4 linked regions of the Drosophila melanogaster genome follow. The protein of the gene in region 1 interacts with the protein of each later gene in a pairwise test. Each region holds a gene or a part of one and is shown in the gene's direction. Other genes may lie near its edges. The genes, in order: CG4194, Vha68-3, Capr and Cyp4g1.

The links.
Region 2: the proteins of CG4194 (region 1) and Vha68-3 interact in a two-hybrid assay, tested with the Drosophila melanogaster proteins (one large-scale study listed by BioGRID).
Region 3: the proteins of CG4194 (region 1) and Capr interact in a two-hybrid assay, tested with the Drosophila melanogaster proteins (one large-scale study listed by BioGRID).
Region 4: the proteins of CG4194 (region 1) and Cyp4g1 interact in a two-hybrid assay, tested with the Drosophila melanogaster proteins (one large-scale study listed by BioGRID).

The regions. Positions count from the first base shown.
Region 1 is NC_004354.4:2,066,985-2,070,191, forward strand, and holds CG4194 (uncharacterized protein), read left to right. Parts: upstream 1-1,607; 5' UTR 1,608-1,622; coding exon 1,623-2,417; 3' UTR 2,418-2,704; downstream 2,705-3,207. Other genes in the region: CG4199 (uncharacterized protein), read right to left, coding at 1-1,439.
Region 2 is NT_033779.5:12,977,017-12,981,797, forward strand, and holds Vha68-3 (vacuolar H[+] ATPase 68kD subunit 3), read left to right. Parts: upstream 1-1,769; 5' UTR 1,770-1,883; coding exon 1,884-3,032; intron 3,033-3,095; coding exon 3,096-4,178; 3' UTR 4,179-4,277; downstream 4,278-4,781. Other genes in the region: Vha68-2 (vacuolar H[+] ATPase 68 kDa subunit 2), read left to right, coding at 1-893, 961-1,053.
Region 3 is NT_037436.4:18,667,644-18,675,329, reverse strand, and holds Capr (caprin), read left to right. Parts: upstream 1-2,005; 5' UTR 2,006-2,318; coding exon 2,319-2,699; intron 2,700-3,657; coding exon 3,658-3,840; intron 3,841-3,895; coding exon 3,896-4,062; intron 4,063-4,141; coding exon 4,142-6,296; 3' UTR 6,297-7,177; downstream 7,178-7,686. Other genes in the region: GNBP2 (Gram-negative bacteria binding protein 2), read left to right, coding at 1-111, 353-785, 848-1,161, 1,226-1,282, 1,355-1,812; CG42495 (uncharacterized protein), read right to left, coding at 7,346-7,483, 7,537-7,682.
Region 4 is NC_004354.4:466,526-471,283, reverse strand, and holds Cyp4g1 (cytochrome P450 4g1), read left to right. Parts: upstream 1-1,948; 5' UTR 1,949-2,055; coding exon 2,056-3,726; 3' UTR 3,727-4,227; downstream 4,228-4,758. UniProt on the Drosophila melanogaster protein: May be involved in the metabolism of insect hormones and in the breakdown of synthetic insecticides.

The DNA.
Region 1 (3,207 bases):
GGTGAAAAAGAAGGGCACGGCCTCCAGCTTCTTTACCCCGCCGCACATGTTGATGGCCGCCACTCGTCCATGGTATTGAGCCAGCTGGTAATGCCCGATGTTCACGCGATCGTGGGCCAGCCCGTGAATGTGGGCGTTTGCTATATCACCGCCCACATACACATCGGGTACATTGGACTCCAGGAAATCAGTGACGTCCACGGATCCGTTACGATTTACCTTCACGCCCGACTTGGCCAGAAATTGGGTGTTGAGCTTGGAGCCAGTGCCCAAGATCAGCAGATCGCAAGGCAGACGCGTGTCATCTACCAGCACCACCTCTGATACCTTGCCGTCTTCGTTGCCAACGATCTCGGCGATGCCGCTCTCCATGCGCATGACCACCTTGTTGTCCTCGAACAGCTGGAGCACCCTCTGACCAATCTCCGCGCCGAATGCGGCCTTAAGTGGGACGTTTTCACGACCCACAACCGTGACGCTTTGCACTTTGGAGACCAACCCAGCAGCTGCCTCCAAGGCGATAAAGCTCGATCCCAGACAGACGACGCGGGACTCCGGGGTGATCGATGCCAATATCGCCTTTGTATCCGCCAACTCTCGGACAGTGCGGACGTTCTCCAAGTTAACACCGGGAATAGGCGGCCGGAAGGCGGAGCAGCCTGTGGCCAGGTAGATTTTATCGTACTTCACCACGTAGCCATTGCTGCAGTGCAGCTCTTTCTGAGCGGTATCCAACTTCTCGGCGGCGACTCCTTGCCACAGTTCGATATCGTACTCTTTGTAGAACTCCTCGTCGCGGAACCGCAGCTGCTCGATCTCAAGGTTCATAGCCTTGGAGATCTTAACGCGATCGTAGGGCAGATAGTCTTCGCGGCACACAAAGATTAGGCGCCCAGTAAAGCCCTCCTGTCGGATGGTTTCCACGGCTACAGCGCCAGAAGGACCACCGCCAACCACGATGAACACTCGCTGATCGTCGGGCTTGCGTCGGACCATGTTCTTGAGTCGCTTGTTATTCACCAGATCCGATCGCTTTGCACGGAGCATCACCTGTCCCTCGTTACCCACTTCCACGCGATAACATGGCAGGGAATCGAGACCAGGAAAGTCCTCAATGTCTCCGTTTTCCAGGTTAAAGCAAGCGCCGTGCCAAGGACAGCGGACACGACCCAAACCCAAAGCTCCAGTCTGGAGCGGAGCTCCGTAATGGGTGCACTTAGCACCCACTGCTAGCAGACGATCGTTCTGCTTCACGAGCAGCACGCGGGTGTCCTCATCGAAGTCCACCTGCTTCATTTCGTTCTCCTTCAGATCCGTAACTCTGCAGTCCACGGGGACCGCACTTGTGTACTCCGAATCCGGCGAAGACTCTTCCGTCGACATGGTTGTACTGGGACTCTGGTTGCTGCACTTGGACTGGTAGGAACCCACGGCACCACCTGCCGAAGCCATCATGTAAAGAGACAAGCAAAGAGAAACGGAGATAACAATACAGATAAGAAGAGTGTGTAGGTGAATGGACACATCAAAATTTTCCAGTTTTTCTCCAAGGGTCCAAGGGAAATTCTGGCACCGCTTGCTGCTCAGGTAGAAACAACAAAAAACGAATATCAGTCGAGAAAATGCTTCGCTCGCGTTCAGAAGTCTTTGTGTGTTTGCTTATGATCCTGGGATCAGTTCTGGTCCGTTCGAATCTTGGGAATCCTCAGGAACTGGAGCTAAGTGCGCTGCGCACCCACAAACAGCTATTGCAGGCGGAGATCGCACGTCTTTTTTTAGAGCAGCCGCTTCGAGCGGAAACTCAACTTCTGCTGGAAGATCTACAGCTAAGAGATCATCAAATAGGCGTTCAGATAGAAAAGCTCGAGGAAATCTCCAAGGGCGAGACCACGCAGAGGCTGGCCATCAATCTAACGGCTGACTTTGAACACCTGCAGCATAAATTGGATGATTTGAAACGACAACTTGAGCTGCTCGACGGACGCTTTGCCTCCCAAGGGAAGCAACTGGAAGGACACTCGTCGGAAGGCGCATCGCCGGCTGGCCCCGGATTAGGTTCCTTTTTGTGGGGACCCTTGCTGACCATGCCAGAGTTTCCACAGGGCAGTGTGGCCAGCGACCAGCAACATAACCACCACCAGCAGGATCATTCCCCGGATCCGCAGCAGGATTCCAGTCCCTCTATCATTAAAAGAGTGCTGGACATGCTTAGGCCATCCATAGGAGTATCAGGTCTGCGGAGTCGTTGGACTGAATCCGCAAAATCAGCTGCAACGGGCTTGGCAACACCTAAGCCCACTCACCCACTTAGTGCTGAGGAGCTCCTACCGCAGCTGCAGGAGCAGCGCAGGTTTCTGGACGATGCTATTACGCGACTGGAGCTCTTGGCCGTCAAGAAGGGCTCGAACAAAAACTAAAATATGTGGAAAATCTAAGTAAATCAAACACTTAAATCCATCTATCCAAAAGTTGAGCTTTGAGATTAAACAGAGGATCAATATTTATTTACTTAAATTGCCAGAGATCATCATTCATAACCAGATTCGTTGAGTCACTGTCAAAAATTCAGAGAAATTATACTATACCAAATAAGTAAAGTTCGTTTCATAATGATTTGTGACCATTTCCGAAAACAATTGAACTAAAATTAGATTGAACAGTCACCTTAATGAAAAGTCTAAAGCAATAAATACTAACTATCTTTAAAACCATGATATGTAATTGTAAAATTGTGTGTGTCAGGGCACTTATTTTAAGCAACACCGAGGATAGGGTAGCAGCTGCCTAATTGCCATCGATGGTTACCTGACCACAACAAAGCGGATCCTAGCGACAAGTCCGAATCGATTGACTCATCCGACCTACTGCAATGTCACGTCAACTAGGCATACCTAAGAACCTCAAGTTGCTACGTCATCAAGAAAAGCCAGGCGGTGAGGAAAACACCTATTGTATAAAGCGTAACCGTAACACCTGTAAACGTGTGTCGGTTCTGTTCTGATATGGCGATAATGTCTACACGCCCCTATCTCAAGTGACTGGCTTTATGATGTATGGTAATATGGTATCGCTGGTATATGTATCGCCGATATGCCCATGATAGAGGAGCTGATGATTCGGCTTTTTGCGGACGGAGGCGTGCTGATCGGAAATCAAACATTTCCATCGAAGCAGCAAACATGAAAAACAGCAAGTCATGAATTACCC
Region 2 (4,781 bases), on another chromosome or scaffold:
ACTTCCCCGAGCTGTCCGTGGAGATCGACGGTGTCACCGAGTCCATCATGAAGCGTACCGCCCTTGTGGCCAACACCTCCAACATGCCTGTGGCTGCTCGTGAGGCCTCCATCTACACTGGTATCACCTTGTCCGAATACTTCCGTGATATGGGTTACAACGTGTCCATGATGGCTGATTCCACCTCCCGTTGGGCTGAGGCTCTTCGTGAAATTTCTGGTCGTCTCGCTGAGATGCCTGCCGATTCCGGCTACCCAGCCTACTTGGGAGCCCGTCTGGCCTCCTTCTACGAGCGTGCCGGTCGCGTTAAGTGCTTGGGTAACCCCGAGCGCGAGGGATCCGTGTCCATTGTCGGAGCTGTGTCTCCTCCTGGTGGTGACTTCTCCGATCCCGTGACCTCCGCCACTCTGGGTATCGTGCAGGTGTTCTGGGGTCTCGACAAGAAGTTGGCCCAGCGCAAGCACTTCCCCTCGATCAACTGGCTCATCTCCTACTCGAAGTACATGCGTGCTCTGGATGACTTCTATGACAAGAACTTCCCCGAATTCGTGCCGCTGCGTACCAAGGTCAAGGAGATCCTGCAGGAGGAGGAGGATCTGTCTGAGATCGTGCAACTGGTCGGCAAGGCCTCTCTGGCCGAAACCGACAAGATCACGCTGGAGGTGGCCAAGCTGCTGAAGGACGATTTCCTGCAGCAGAACTCCTACTCCTCGTACGATCGCTTCTGCCCCTTCTACAAGACCGTGGGCATGTTGAGGAACATCATCGACTTCTACGACATGGCCCGTCACTCCGTGGAGTCTACGGCTCAGTCTGAGAACAAGATCACCTGGAACGTGATTCGTGAGGCAATGGGCAACATTATGTACCAGCTGTCATCCATGAAGTTCAAGGTGGGTTAACACGCAAATTTATCCATTGCCTAGACACTGGGTGACCACATTTTTCAATCCATTTCAGGACCCCGTTAAGGATGGTGAGGCCAAGATCAAGGCTGACTTCGAGCAGCTGCACGAGGACCTGCAGCAGGCCTTCAGAAATCTGGAGGACTAGAGACCGCGCTGGCCCTACTTTTACACTCTAATCTTATATTTGTTATATAGTTAACGTTTAAAAATGAAAGCAGTCAAAAACCATCCGAAAAAGCCTAATCAAACACCAACAATTCCGTGCTGCATTCGATGAAAAACAAAAGTCCAACAAATACCACAACTTCTTGGTGCCTGCGAGAGATGTAAACATTCCGGCCTGCGGTTAATACTTTCCCCTAACCACGCCCCCTCCGCCCCTTGAAGGGCAACTCTAGGCAACAGCAACTACAACGTCCTGCTATGTACTTCCATTTACAACAACAACACCAACATACACTTGAATAAAAGTACACGGACACTGGCGCACACACAACACATACATAAAAGACACAAATACAAATGCATGCATAAATAGTATTATTGTTTAATGAATGGAAATTCTTGTTTATTTGTGAAAAAAGTCATGTTTTCTCCCTGTTTGTTTGTTAAATTTATGTAAATATTTAAAGTATGAAATATTAAATGTACGAATAAAGTGCAACAACAAATACATTTAATGTAATTGAAAGTGAATTTCACTGGCAGCAGAATGGATATTAAAAATGTGTCAACTCGATAAAAAGATAATAAGTTAAAATATTTTTTTGAATTTTAAACCTTCATTATATAAACATACTTGACTATATGAAAGCTAAGAAAATGGGAATATATTGAAAAGCATAATCTAAAATCCTATATCATTCTCAGTCATCACCTTAGTCTTTCCATAAACTTCTGCCCCATTTATTTTATTTATTTGACAATATTAGTAAAAATTGTACCAAGTGAAAAAATTGTATATATTTAAACCAAATGGAAAAGAAGTCCTGGGTTGCACCGCTTACCTCGTTCACCAACAGTAACGCAAGTAACGAAGACAGAGCCCGCAACTCGGGATCGTTAAACCAAGATGGGGAGCCAAGGTCCGTGCCTCACCCAACGGTTCCGGCTAAGAAGTGCACATGTCCAACCTGCGCTTGCCAACGTAATGACCATAAATCCAATCCGGTACCCCCTCCCCCTCAATCACGCAAGCCTGTAGCCGAGCCGGAAAGTCCCCATGATACAGTCAATGACGAGGACAGTTTGAAGGACTTGAGACGTTCGACGGACCAATCCCACAAGAGCGCTCACATCGCCTTGGAGAAGAATGAGGACTCGGGTTTTGTGATCGAGCAGGTGGTTGATACGCACAAATATTCGTCGGATGAAGAAGAGGAGGAGGCGACGATGGGTCGCATTTTCGGAGTCTCCGGTCCGGTGGTCAATGCCGAGGAGATGGCCGGCGCAGCCATGTACGAGCTGGTTCGCGTTGGACACTCCCAGCTTGTTGGTGAGATCATTCGACTGGAGGGTGATATGGCCACCATTCAGGTTTACGAGGATACTTCGGGTGTGAGCGTGGGTGATCCCGTCTACCAGACGGGAAAGCCGCTCTCCGTGGAATTGGGACCCGGCATCATGGGCAGCATTTTCGATGGTATCCAGCGACCATTGAGGTCCATCAGTGAACTAACCAACTCCATATACGTGCCCAAGGGCATCGATACGCCCTCCCTGCCCAGGAACATTGCGTACGAATTCACACCCGGAAAATTGAAGATCGATGCTCTGATCACCGGCGGAGACATCTACGGATCTGTTTTCGAAAACAGCATGATGCACGATCACCGCCTGATACTACCGCCCCGCACCAAGGGGCGCATCCGGTGGTTGGCCCCGCCCGGGAACTACTGCGTGGACGAGGTGATCGTGGAGACGGAGTTCAACGACGAGATCACCAAGCACACCATGCTCCAGGTGTGGCCCGTACGGAGGTGTCGTCCGGTGGAGGATAAGCTCCCCAGCAATTCACCACTCTTGACTGGCCAGCGCGTCCTGGACGCCTTCTTTCCATGTGTCCAGGGCGGAACCACTGCCATTCCAGGAGCGTTTGGATGTGGAAAGACCGTCATCTCACAGGTGAGAGGGTTTCTAAGAGTTTAGTTGACAAATGATTACATTCCAATCAACTTATACCCCTAGGCCCTGTCCAAATACTCCAACTCAGATGTCATCATCTACGTGGGCTGCGGTGAGCGCGGGAACGAAATGTCCGAGGTTCTTCGGGACTTTCCGCAGCTTGAGGTTGAGGTCAATGGCACCATGGAATCGATTATGAAGCGGACTGCCCTGGTGGCCAATACCTCCAATATGCCGGTGGCTGCCCGAGAAGCCTCGATCTACACGGGCATCACCCTCTCGGAATACTTCCGCGACATGGGCTACCATGTGTCCATGATGGCGGACTCCACATCTCGATGGGCGGAGGCGCTGCGTGAGATTTCCGGACGTCTGGCCGAGATGCCTGCCGATGCTGGCTATCCGGCTTACTTGGGAGCTCGGCTGGCCTCCTTCTACGAGAGAGCCGGACTGGTGAAGTGCCTGGGCAGTCCAGATCGTGAGGGATCCGTGTCCATTGTGGGAGCTGTGTCGCCTCCCGGTGGCGACTTCTCTGATCCCGTGACCTCCGCCACCCTGAGCATCGTTCAGGTCTTTTGGGGTCTGGACAAGAAGCTGGCCCAGAGGAAACACTTTCCATCGGTGAACTGGCTGCAATCGTACTCCAAGTACATGCGCACTTTGGACACTTACTACGAGGAATCCAATCCGGAGTTTACGCATCTGCGAGCTAAGGCCAAGAAGGTGCTGCAGGAGGAGGATGACCTGGCGGAAATTGTCCAACTGGTGGGCAAGTCGTCGTTGAACGAGGAGGACAAGATCACCCTTGAGGTGGCCAAGATGCTGAAGGACGATTTCCTGCAGCAGAACTCCTACAGTCAGTACGATGCCTACTGCCCCTTCTTCAAGACCATTGGCATGCTGAAGAACATGATGACCTTCTATGATGCGGCGATCCTGTCGGTGCAGAACACGGCGGACAATGAGGCGCGTGTAACTTGGGGCTTGATCCGTATAAAAGCCGCTAACATTCTGTACGAGCTCTCCACCATGAAGTTCATTGATCCCAAGCTGGGCGAAGCGACTGTCCTGGAGAGCATGAACAAGCTGCATGACAATATCCTTTCAACTTTCCGGGAGATAGAGGATAATGTCGAGGACTATTAGAAGTTGTGATGGATAAGTGAAGACTTAAATTATTGTATCGATTCGTATTTTAAAAATTAAAGTGCATCATCTGCCATAGAAATGTTACAAAGCAAAATGAAATATTAGTATTCCTATTTTTATATATTATTACAAAAGGTAAATGAAATAACGAATGTATATATAACAGATATTAGGACATTACAATCTCTTTGATAAAACTACGATTTAATTGAATTTTAAGAGAGAAGCCAACATTAGATAATCATAATCAAAAAAGTACTTACGTTTGCATGCGAGAGGAAACCACTTTGAACCGAACCACCACCGAACAGCGATTATCGAGTAGTAATTGCAGCCAACTTATCGCAATCATTTTCCAGTTGGTGAAAAGTCATTTACCCGCCAACGCGTTTTGCTCATTAGAAGCCATAATGGTGCATCGTCTGCCTGCTCTGAAAATTTCCACCCAGCTCCCCTGCGGATGCCAGCCGCAGTTAATCCTTTGCCCAACCTCGGCGGGAACGCAAAGGAGATTATAAAAAATTTGGTTGATTTATAGGAAAAGTTTGTTAATGCGCCAAAAGCGCGGCCACGCCCCGACAAAAACGGGAAAACGGAACG
Region 3 (7,686 bases), on another chromosome or scaffold:
TTCTGCCATGTTTATTATTGCTCATTTCAAACAATAAAATCTTTGGTTTTAAAGTACCCAGTATTAATTTTGAAATGCTAAAGGATGAAGGATTCGAAGTGTCCATACCAGGTGACTTCTACAACACTTCTATGGTTAAATAAATAACATCATAAATGTCAATGGTTTGGCTAATTTATTCATATGGAAAAAGCTTTGAAGTGTATTTGAAAATCCACTATAGGTTCAATAGTAAAAACTACGTATATAAAACAAATAAATTGGTGGATTAGCAAAATCAGCCTAGACTAAGTCTTATTTGAATAATTACTTTTAGTAACGACACGTTGTTGCTTTTTTCATATCGATCCAGATGAGCCTGGCATACAGCGGGTGTTCTACATGTTCCAAATTGACGACACCTGCCCGGCTCTAATGGACTACATCACGGAGGCAGTGAACGGAAGTTGGGTCTCCAAGCAAAAGATGAGTCTGCAGAACAACGACAAGCTGCAGATATCAATGCTGGTGCAGTTCAATGAGGAAATCTTCGAAAAGAGTGAAACCAGGGTGATCATAAACACCCGGCTACTGACCACCAAAGACTCTAGCTCGCGAGGCATAACATTCCTTACAGGAGAGGGCGAGTGCCAGGCATACCTAGCTCCTGCACAGCAAGCCAAACGCTGCAAGGCCGCCCAAACGATAGTGAGCAATGGACGCCATACTTGCCAGGGTGAACTGATCTTTGAGGACAACTTCTCGGAGGCGCAGCTGAACAAGACCACCTGGAAGCATGACATCCGGTTAGTGAAATAAGTGGACTCATTGGATGTGTCTAAGATACTTATGTTTTACGACTTTTAAGACAGCGCATGTACCACGTGGAGGAGGAGCTGGTGGCCTTCGACGATGCCGCACGCAACTGCTTTGTGAAGGAAGGCGAACTCCATATCGTTCCCACTATCGCCACCGAGGTCACCGATGGCAGCTTCAAACTGGGAGATCGCTGTACGGCCGTCGAAAGTCCGGAACAGGAGTGCAACATTGCGCACGGCATCTTCTATAGCATCAAGCCTCCAGTTTTCTCCGCCCAAATTCACACCAGAAACTCTTTCAGTTTCAAATTTGGCAAAATCGTCGTGCGCGCCAAGTTGCCCAAGGGGGATTGGCTTTTCCCCTGTGAGTAGCATACTAACTTACCTTTTCTTGTTACGAAAACGGTTTAATTTTTAATTTATTTAAGATCTGATGCTCCAACCGGTTTCCACTTACGCGGAGACCCACTATGCCAAGCAATTGAGTAGGTTTCAAAAACTTCAAAAGCTCTAGGGTTTCCATTTTGTTGTATCCTAACTTTAAATCTTACTTTCAGGAATTGCATATGCCCGTGGCAATGCCAATTTGAGGACGAAACAAGGAGATGATATCTCCGGAAACCACTTATATGGCGGCGGTGTGGTTTGGCACCACGGCAATGCAGTACAGTTCCTCAAGGACAAGATAAGCAACAGCCACTACGGGGACGACTTTCACAACTACACCATGATCTGGCAGAGGGATAAGATTACCCTAATGGTAGACGATGAGGTTTATGGGGAGCTGTACGACGGACTGCCATTCTTCAACGAGAAGTGCTTTATTATCTTTGGCGTTACGGTGGGCGGCTTCCTGAACTTCGACGATAGTCTATTGGCCAAGGATGTCAAGCCTTATAAAAACAGGGAACCCCGGGCTGCCCTCTCATTTTGGCAGCACCGCGATGCTTGGGCCCCCACTTGGGGCAGGCACAGCGCCATGGTCATAGACTATGTTAGGGTTTATGCGGAGTAGCTGTGGCATTTGTCACCAAAATATAAATAAAGTACTTAAACATCAATCATCGCTTCATATTCAAAAAATGTTTCTAAAGTCGAAAGACATATCGATTATCGATACCAGGAATTGTGTTCTTACTGCAAAAGTTGTTAACAAGTAAATGCTTTTCAGAATTAACTTATTTCCTTCACAATCTCACAGTGTAAAAAGTGAACGAATTGAAAATTTACACGAAAAACATTTGCAACTCCTTACCACATTTTCCATATCGCACACTGCAATCGATTGTCGCCGGCAGCGGCAATGTGCATCGTATCGAACTGCTAGCCCAAGCGGCATCGATACTATCGAACGCACATCGGCCCGAAAGCCAGCTCTAGTTTTTTTTCCCCGAGAGGAGCAGACAAGCGAACTGGACTGGGAAACAGCAGCAGCAGCAGCAGTCGTTTGAATTGAATATCATTCCCCATTTCGAGCTAAACGTCGTTGAGAGCCAACCAGGAAGAATCCAACGGCGCACCATGCCTTCGGCTGCAAATACCGCTACTGTTACCGCTGCAATTGCCACCACCGTCGCCGCCTCAGCCAGCAACACCAACAACAACAGCGTCAGCAAGGAGAAGCGCTCCTCCATCATTTCGCTGGGCGGTTCGGTAATCCCAGGAACAGCAGTTGCAGCTGGAGCCGGAGTCGCAACCACCAATGGCCAGAGCAACAGCAGCGCGGCAGCGACAGCGGATGGCAGCCAAACGGATTTGGCGAGCAGCAACAACAATGGAAACGCTGCCAAATCGAAGGCGAATGCTGTGTCTGCCGCCGCCGTCGTTCCAGAGCCGTACAATCCGCTCAAGCAGCTGCTGGTGACCATCGAGCACAAGATTCGGAACCTGGAGAAGCGCAAGGTCAGTGTTTGGGAAAGTGCCGCAAAGGATCCCTTTATCGGCAGCATGGCCCACCATTTTTATTTTCATTCCTCCGTGTTGCTTTGTTTCGTTTTGCGCGCACCCCTTGCCCCCTTCCTACCCCTTGGCCTAAGTTCTCGGGGCTGGCAGATTTTTCGCGACGCCATGTTTTCTAGAGCACAGGGTTGCCGGATCGCACGGAGCGGCCGGCATGTCAATTAGAACCAGTCAAAAAATTACATGCTCCGATGTGCTGGGTTTTTTAAGCTGCTACCTTGCTCAGCAGAAAACGTTATTACATTTTATAGCACTTTTATTCCAGAAAGTTCTTGCATTCAAAAGCACACACTGTCGACAGCTGTGTTGCTGACGGGGGTGGCAACGTTATTTGCCGGCTCGTTTTGTTTATAGATTCGCACAATTAATATGATGAAAATAAAAAGTACATTTCAGCACGGGCAAGAAATAGAAATAAAATAGGATCATGCAACTATTTGGTACGAAATTGAGCTCACGTGTAATTTCTTTTTGTTACTACTGATACTACCTTCTTTAAGTTGAAATGCAGATTGTTTTAAAGTTTAAGGTTATTTGGTCACTGATCCGCGACAGCGTCAACTTTAATAATTTCATTTGGCAAGTTGTTGACGCAGTTTAAATATCGTCCACGTAAAGTTCTACCACATCGAATTGGAACATTTAATTAAAAACATCAAATAGTAAAAACCGCAAATCTTACGAAGAGGGCATTTGTAGCCATACAAAATGTTTGAAGCTCAATAAAATGTAATTTATAATGGAAAACCATAAAACTTTTCAAAGAAAAAATGAATGCATTAACGACAGCAATAAGCTTGTAAAGCTAGCACATTTCACATATATAGTATATATTTCTGATTATAAACGCTGCAGCCAAACAAATGTGACTAAAACTGACTCATCAATCCCTCTTATCTAGACCAAACTGGAGTCCTATCGCGCTATACAGAGCAGCGGAAAGGAACTGAGCGGGGACCAAGCTTCGGCAGTGGCCAAATACGATGCTGTCCTGGCCAATCTGGAGTTTGCCCGTGAGCTGGCCAAGCATATTCAGCAGCAGTCCAAGGAGGCCGAAAAGGAGCAGAAGAAGCAGGCGCGCAAGGTATGCTCGTTAAATTTCTAATTTTCGCTGATGTTCATTTTAAATTCTACCTAAGGATAACCTGGCAAAGACAATTGCTGAAACGGCCAAGATTCGGGAGGTTCTGATCATTCAGAACGTGCTCAACTGTTTCAACGACGATCAAGTGCGCAGCGATTTTCTAAACGGCGAGAACGGAGCGAAAAAGTTGGAAAACACCGAACTGGAATTGCTGGAGAAGTTGTACGCATCAACACGCACATTAAACGATTTCCCTTTGGTATATATTAAGCCGCAATCCATTTCCCTTTTTTTTTTTTAGTTTCATTGAGACGCAAACACGCCGTCCGGAAACCGCTGACGATGTAAGCTTTATTGCCACTGCCCAGAAGTCTGCCGAACTCTTTTACTCGACCATCAATGCGCGTCCGAAGTCTTTCGGAGAAGTGTCCTTCGAGAAGTTGCGATCTCTCTTCCAGCAGATCCAGGATAGTGGGTACCTGGACAAGTATTACCTTGTTCCACTGGCCGAGAACGCGGTAGCCAACAGCACGGATAGTGGAACTGGAAGTGGCGATGGAGAAAGCGGTGACTTGTTGAACGATGGCTCGGGGGAACTGGACGCGGAACTGCCATCTGAGCCATCGGCTCGAAACTCTTTGGAGGAGGGACTAGACAAGTTGCATTTGGGCGTGCAAGCAGAACTGGACCAGCATCAATCGTACCAGCAACAGCAGGAGCGTCCGAGCCATCTTCTGGAGCCGCAGCACCAGAGAGCTCCATCCCTGGAACATCAGCAGAACTCGATGGTGCAGCAGGTGTCGACCCAGGTCTACCAGGCAGCTCCTCAGGCCGGAGGAACCACCACGCCAGTGCATGTTCTATACGCTCCAGCGCCACCAGCCCAGCAGCAGCCCCAGCAGCCGCCGCCGCATCCTCACCAGCTGTTAAGCAGCCCCGTGAATCTCCAGGCCTTGCAAACAGGAACAGCTGCTCCACCAGCACAACAGCAGCAACCACACCCAACCCACTTTGCTCCAAATGTGAGGGCCGTGGAGCAAAACTATTTCAAGCAGCCACCGCAGCATCCTCAAGGTCCTGGAATACAGGCACCACAAACGCCCCAGCAGCAGCAGTTTATGCAGCATTCGCGCCCCTTGGCGGAGGTCTTGGGCACAGGACGCTTCCATTTTCTGCAGGACAGTGAACTGGACAATCCTGAGGCTTTAGCACCGCCGCCTCCGACCAATCAGGGATTGGTATTTGAGCAGCAGCCGCAACAGCCCAACCATGTCGAAGAACCAACGCAGGCCATACTGACGCTGACCTTCACCAACCAATCGTTCCCATCGCAGCAGCCCCAGCCCCAGCAACAGGGTCCGCAGCAGCAGCAGCAGCTTTTCTCGCCGGTGCTGATCCACGAGCAACGTCAACAGCCACCACAGCAGCAGCCGCAACCAATGCTGATTATGCCGCGTCTGCCAACCCAACAACCGCAGCAGCCTGCTCCTCAGGGCATTGGCATGCAGGCGGGCGATGTGACCTCAGGGTTCTCATACGAAAATGCTGTTGTTTCCTATGAACAGCAGATCCAGCAGCAGCTGAAACAGCAGCAACAACAACAGCAGCAGCAGCAGCAAAATCTACAGCAGCTGGATGAGCCGTCATCTGTGAACAGCTCCTCGAGTGTCGGTGCTGGTGGAGATGTCGAGAACAATGAATGGCATGCCCGTAATAATGATACAAATGCTGCCGCCACAGCAGCACTGACGAATGTGCTCAAAGGCGAGACCACCCAGGCCACGCCACCGGCACCGCCAACCAAGTGGAGCTCGGAGATGAATGCCATGAGTAGCGCCGCCTCCAATGGCAGCAGCAACACCAGCCACAAGCAGGAGTGGGCCACGCCCAGGGACCACAGCACTGGCGGAGGCAATAGCGGTTATGCCGATAACAACGAGAGTAACAACCATTGGAACAACTCGCAAGGAGACGGACGCCGCAACTCTGGCAATTATCAGCGTCGTGGCGGAGACAGGGATAACCGGGATCGCGATCAGGGAGGGCGAGGTGACGAGCGGCGCAACGGCGGCGACAGGGGCAACTACCGGTCGCGTCAATACGGCAACTCATCTAACACGAACGGACGCAATTCGGGCAATTCGAGCGGTGTGTACTTCCGCAACAATGAGTCGGGCAATGGTGGAGGCAACAACTACTACCAGAACGGAGGAGGTGGCGGTGGCACCTACAACAAGGAGTCGCGCTACGAATCCTCCGGCGGCGGCGGTGGAAGCTATCGAGGCCAGCGCGGTGGCAACCAGCAGCGTAATGTAAATGGCTCGTATGGCGGCGGCAGGCCCATGGGCGATCGTGGTCGTGGCGGAGCGGGCAACCAGGGAGGTGGTGGTGGTGGCTACATAAACCGTCAGAACCAGTCGCAACGCATGCCACTCGGGCTGGAGAACAAAAACTGAGCATACAATACGTATTAACCCCGCAAACAAAACACACATACAATTCATGCAAACCATAAACACAACCTCCATACAGAAAACAAGGAAACCAATCATCAACATGCAAGTAATGGCCACGTAGACGTACAATTATTGTTACGCAAACCACTCTCAACCATAAGAAATGGAAATCTATCAAAAAGAATCCTTTATAACGCAACTAGGGAATCGAAAATGAAGCCGACACACAAATCAATTCGTGCGCATTTTTCAATACGATTTATACCTATTTCCCTTGATTTTGGTTTATTCGATAATGTATTAATAATAAAACAAAATAGTTGTTAGAAACACGAAAGAATTACAACTAAATACAGGAAAGTAAGCGCTCCAAGGGTTTCTAAAACTCCCAGACAGGATAGGACAGGACACAACACTACTTCGTCCAAGGAAAACAAACGACAGATGGGCAAAACTTGTATGTAACTTGGATCTGCCATTTCTTGCTTGATTTTACTTTTTGTCTGTTTGGCTGCGTTGAAGCTGATTGATGATTACAGATGTCGAGAGAAAGAATATAAAAAGTATTTATACGTCTTAGCAATTAAATAACGATTCTGAATTATAAAAATTAATTACTATTACCTATATATATAAACGAAGGGATAAATATATTTATAGTTTGTGCTCTTACTGTCATGCTCTATCCCATTTCAACACCTTTTTTTGTTCTGCCAAACTTTTACACACAAACGATGAAAACAAAAATACAAAACCACGTAAAACATAATAGTTGTAATTATTGCCGCGTGAATGAAGAAGCGTGCACACTAACAGTGCATTATAAATGAAATGAAAACTATGTATTTGCAAAACAGTACATACATTAAACAAAAGTATATAAACCATTCGTTTTTTTGGACTAATTGGGGTTCCCAACATTTTTATATTTTAAAGTTACAAATGGAAAATTAAGTTTCTTTAACTATTTTTATCCCTGCTTCAGAAAGTTATATGGCAAATGAAAAATGTGTATAAAAGAAGCTAATCTTAAGCAAATCCCATTCCTACTATTCCATTTTGTCCTGCTTTTCGGACTCGACTGTTCCTCCGTCGCAAAGAAACCAAAGACCAGCCAGAATGAGAGTTATTCCGATGCCAGATAGTACTGTCAGTGGCTCCCGATAAACAAGCGCACCTAGGACAAACTATATAACGAACAGTAATCATAATTGAACAAATAGATCGGTGGATCACCTACCGATAAGACATAATTCGAAGCGGCAGTTAAAACGACGCACGTTAAAGTTTGTTCAGTCATTTGCAGGGCCTTCAAAAAGAAACGCAAGTTGCAAACGTTGCATGTTACCATTAACACTAGTGGCAGCAGCTGAAGTAATGCTATTTCTAA
Region 4 (4,758 bases), 1.6 Mb from region 1:
AGCAAGTATAAAGTATCAAGTAAGAAAATAGCTGGAAGGGCCGAAAAACCCAGGTACGAAATTATGTATGTAATTTATTTCGGGAAAACCTAACACCACCACCAACCAAAAGTAAATTCAAGGCGTTTAAAGTCCGTTGTAATGATTTGAACTATGTATGAATGTATGTATGTATGTATAATTGCTTAAGTCCTGCAATCAAAAGTCCAATAAAACTATTTTTACCATTTTATTCGCCAGTTGTTCGCAATTAGATATGTATTTGATTAGCATGACATTTATTAAAGTCTAGTTAGTATAATCAGTTATAAAACGATGGGTGGCACGTGGCTTTATAGGAGCAAATGCAAATTTTGCTCTCTTTTCATACTATGCATACATAGGTAGACATGTATGTATATAAAAGAGATCGAATTATGAAACAGTTATCTTTCATCTCTCTTTTGTTCCCTTTCCTTTTCCACTACATCAACTATCGACTGTTCGAGCTTTTAATCCCGTTACTTTGTTCTAAAGTTGCCTGAAATGTAACTTTATTTTGACTACACTCTGTGATTTCAGTTATTCCGGTCAATTTGGTGAGTGCAGTTTGATATTGGAGGCCTACATTCGGTTGGACTACGATTAGTGATAAAACGGCGAAATTAGTTAAAAACCATTGTTAGAGGTTTTCGTAGTGTGTTTTCGGTGTCGCTTACAGTTTTTGTAACTGTGGTTTCAATAAATGCTGTTAAATATCTGACGCAAATGTTCGGTGTAGCTTACGGTTACTTTTACATGTGATGTACATACATATGTACATATGTAAATAGCGGTCGTGTTATTTCATTGTATTAAATCAAGCAACAGAGGCAATTTATAAATAAATTAGAATCTCAGGTAAGCTATAGGCAACTTATTTTCAATAAATTGCTTATCATTTCAACATCCATAACCTTAATCATTGCAAACTATTACTAATAGGATTTCCTATAAACATAGACCTATGAGTATAACGTTAAATGTTATATGTTTAATTACTATGCCTTGCGCACGCGCTCAAATAATCAAAATGCCATAAAAATAAATGGTAATAAGAATCACTTATAAAAACAATCGGATAACGATGGAGGAGCTGGAGGATGTTGCGGACGAGGTCCACAAAAGAGACAGCTTCCTTTTCTTTGTCTGTGGCTTACATACTCTCTTGTTTACTCACTCGATATTTCCTTTTGCATACTTTTGCTCAGGTGTCGAGGACAAAAGCGCCGAAACCAAATTTAATAAAAAGCGAAAGCAAAACAAAGGAATATCATTAAAATGTCAGGAAGCGAGGCAAGAATCACCCACTTCCGCTCACCAGCAGGTAAATGCCGTAAAATACAGGTAGCCGAACAGCCAATGGCTGGTTTGCATATTCTAGATCCTGGCATCAAACGTACATCCGCAAGAAGTAGGGTTGGTGAAAGAGACAGTAGACACATTCACTTTTCATTCAAATGTGTCGCAAATTTCGCAAAAAATAGCTATTTTTAGAACTACGGAACTAAAAAGTTCGTTAAAAGAATTTTACGCTGTTGAGGTGTTTAAACGAACTGACGTCCAATGGAGGAACTCAAATAGTGTTATAAATGTTTTATTATTTAGTGCAAATAATGTTTCCTAATACTAGGATTCAATGTTTATGTTTTTAAAATGGAACCACGAAAGGATTTTAATTAATATACTATACCAAACGTAAAATCAAAGACAACCACGGACTTCGAAATGCAGTCATGTCTGCTTATACGGATCTACAATGACGCAGTGCAGGCATTGGTTCCAAAGGTATCACCGCAAGCGAGTACGTGACTTTGATTTGCTTTGCTAATTAGTGGGACTGGAAATCAAAGTGGCATATGCTTGACTTCAACCAGTGGCCCCAGAACTCTTGGAACCATATAAAATGTTGCATGTGGTCAATGGCGATTCACAGTTGAGCACTGGCGGCTGATATAGCAACAGTGCCATCTTCAGAAGACAAAAAGGATTTGCACCAGAGGACCAGGGATCAGGAGCAAAGAAGCAACAGCAACCATGGCAGTGGAAGTAGTTCAGGAGACGCTGCAACAAGCGGCGTCCAGTTCGTCGACGACGGTCCTGGGATTCAGTCCTATGTTAACCACCTTAGTGGGCACCCTGGTGGCCATGGCATTGTACGAGTATTGGCGCAGGAATAGCCGGGAATACCGCATGGTTGCCAATATACCATCCCCACCGGAGTTGCCTATTTTGGGACAGGCTCATGTGGCCGCCGGCTTGAGCAATGCCGAGATCCTGGCCGTTGGCTTGGGTTACCTCAACAAGTACGGAGAAACCATGAAGGCCTGGTTGGGCAACGTCCTGTTGGTGTTTCTAACCAATCCCAGTGACATCGAGTTGATCCTGAGTGGGCACCAGCACTTGACCAAGGCGGAGGAGTATCGCTACTTCAAGCCCTGGTTCGGTGATGGTCTACTGATCAGCAATGGACATCATTGGCGTCATCATCGTAAGATGATTGCCCCCACCTTCCACCAGAGCATCTTGAAGAGCTTCGTGCCTACATTTGTGGATCACTCAAAGGCGGTAGTTGCCAGGATGGGCTTAGAAGCGGGCAAATCCTTTGATGTTCATGACTATATGTCGCAGACCACGGTTGACATCCTGTTGTCTACCGCCATGGGTGTGAAGAAGCTTCCGGAGGGTAACAAGAGTTTCGAATACGCCCAAGCCGTCGTCGACATGTGTGATATCATACATAAGAGGCAGGTTAAATTACTGTACCGCCTGGATTCCATCTACAAGTTTACTAAGCTTCGCGAGAAGGGCGATCGCATGATGAACATCATCTTGGGTATGACCAGCAAGGTGGTCAAGGATCGTAAGGAGAACTTCCAAGAGGAGTCACGTGCGATTGTTGAGGAGATTTCTACACCTGTTGCCAGCACTCCCGCTTCCAAGAAGGAGGGTCTTCGCGATGATCTGGATGATATCGATGAAAATGATGTGGGCGCCAAGAGGCGATTGGCTCTTCTAGATGCCATGGTGGAAATGGCTAAGAACCCCGATATCGAGTGGAACGAGAAGGACATCATGGATGAGGTGAATACAATTATGTTTGAGGGCCACGATACCACCTCGGCGGGATCTAGTTTCGCCCTCTGCATGATGGGAATCCACAAGGACATCCAGGCTAAAGTCTTCGCCGAACAGAAGGCCATCTTCGGGGATAATATGCTGAGGGATTGCACCTTTGCCGATACCATGGAGATGAAATATTTGGAGCGCGTAATTTTAGAGACTTTGAGGTTGTACCCACCAGTACCACTTATCGCCAGGCGTCTGGACTACGACCTGAAGTTGGCCAGTGGTCCGTACACGGTTCCCAAGGGCACTACGGTCATCGTGCTGCAGTACTGCGTGCACAGACGTCCAGACATCTACCCCAATCCCACCAAATTCGATCCGGACAACTTCCTACCCGAGAGGATGGCCAACAGGCATTACTACTCCTTCATTCCCTTTAGCGCTGGACCCAGAAGCTGTGTGGGCCGCAAGTACGCCATGCTGAAGCTAAAGGTCCTGCTATCCACCATCGTGAGGAACTATATTGTCCACTCCACCGACACGGAGGCAGATTTCAAGCTGCAGGCTGACATCATCCTAAAGCTTGAGAATGGATTCAATGTCTCGTTGGAGAAGCGTCAGTACGCCACGGTGGCCTAGAATCCAGAAATCTAGGACCCCGACTACACACACGCAACCCCGAACCCGAAACCGGAATCCAGCCCTGTATATAGATGATGAATACCGATGAATATCCCAAACCGAAAACTTGATGACGAACTTATAAATCTAAAACACCGAATAAGAACCCAACGCACAAGCCAGCCAGAGAGTCAATTAATTTTTCTTTCGTTTTTTAACTCGTTACTTTTATATTTGATTAATACCTTTTTGTTTGTTGGTCTTTAGCGAGTGGTGCCCCTATATAATGTATACGTATATACTATATATCCTTTTAACCAACTATTCAACGCAACTGTTTGTGCTCTTCACCTTTTTAGTACTCCTACTTTTACCACTATCTATACTTTTTTTTCGTAGCCATGTAGTGTGATTTTTTTTCTTTATTCTAGTATTTATTAAGTCAAATGGTTTAAACGAAACCCAAAAAATATGAAAAATACACGTATGCGAGGCACGTAGCCGATAGAGCTGCAAAACAATTGTAATTGCACATCTTGTAATGTTCTCCTTCTGGGCGGTCGTAGTTTCTACGAACTTGGCTAACATGCCAAACTATAAGAAATTTGAATGCAGATAGACAAACCAAGTGAACAAGTCGACTTGGCTTATGATTCTGCGGTTTTCCAATCAACAAGTTAATGCGCTAATGCGAGGCAATCGACGGTTTGCAAACTGCTGGCAATGTCATAATATTGATTCAGGCCGCTGTCCTTGGCAAGGTATTTTCTGTTTTACTTTATTTCGCTCGCATTTTGGGTACCTGTTCATATTTGTTAGCATTATACTGATCTTAAGTCGACACCTCATTCGATGGGCGATTTGTAATGCGATTAATCGGATGCAGATTGCGATGCTGACAAATGCGAATGCTATTGTGTCGGAATCGGTAGCAGTTTATCGCGGGTTTCGCGGTCAATGAAAAGGAGGTGTATCGGAAATTCGTTAGCCTTCTCTTCTTGTGATTAGCTGAATTCCGCCGTTAGAAGCCGGCTTTCCCTTTTTTAGGCA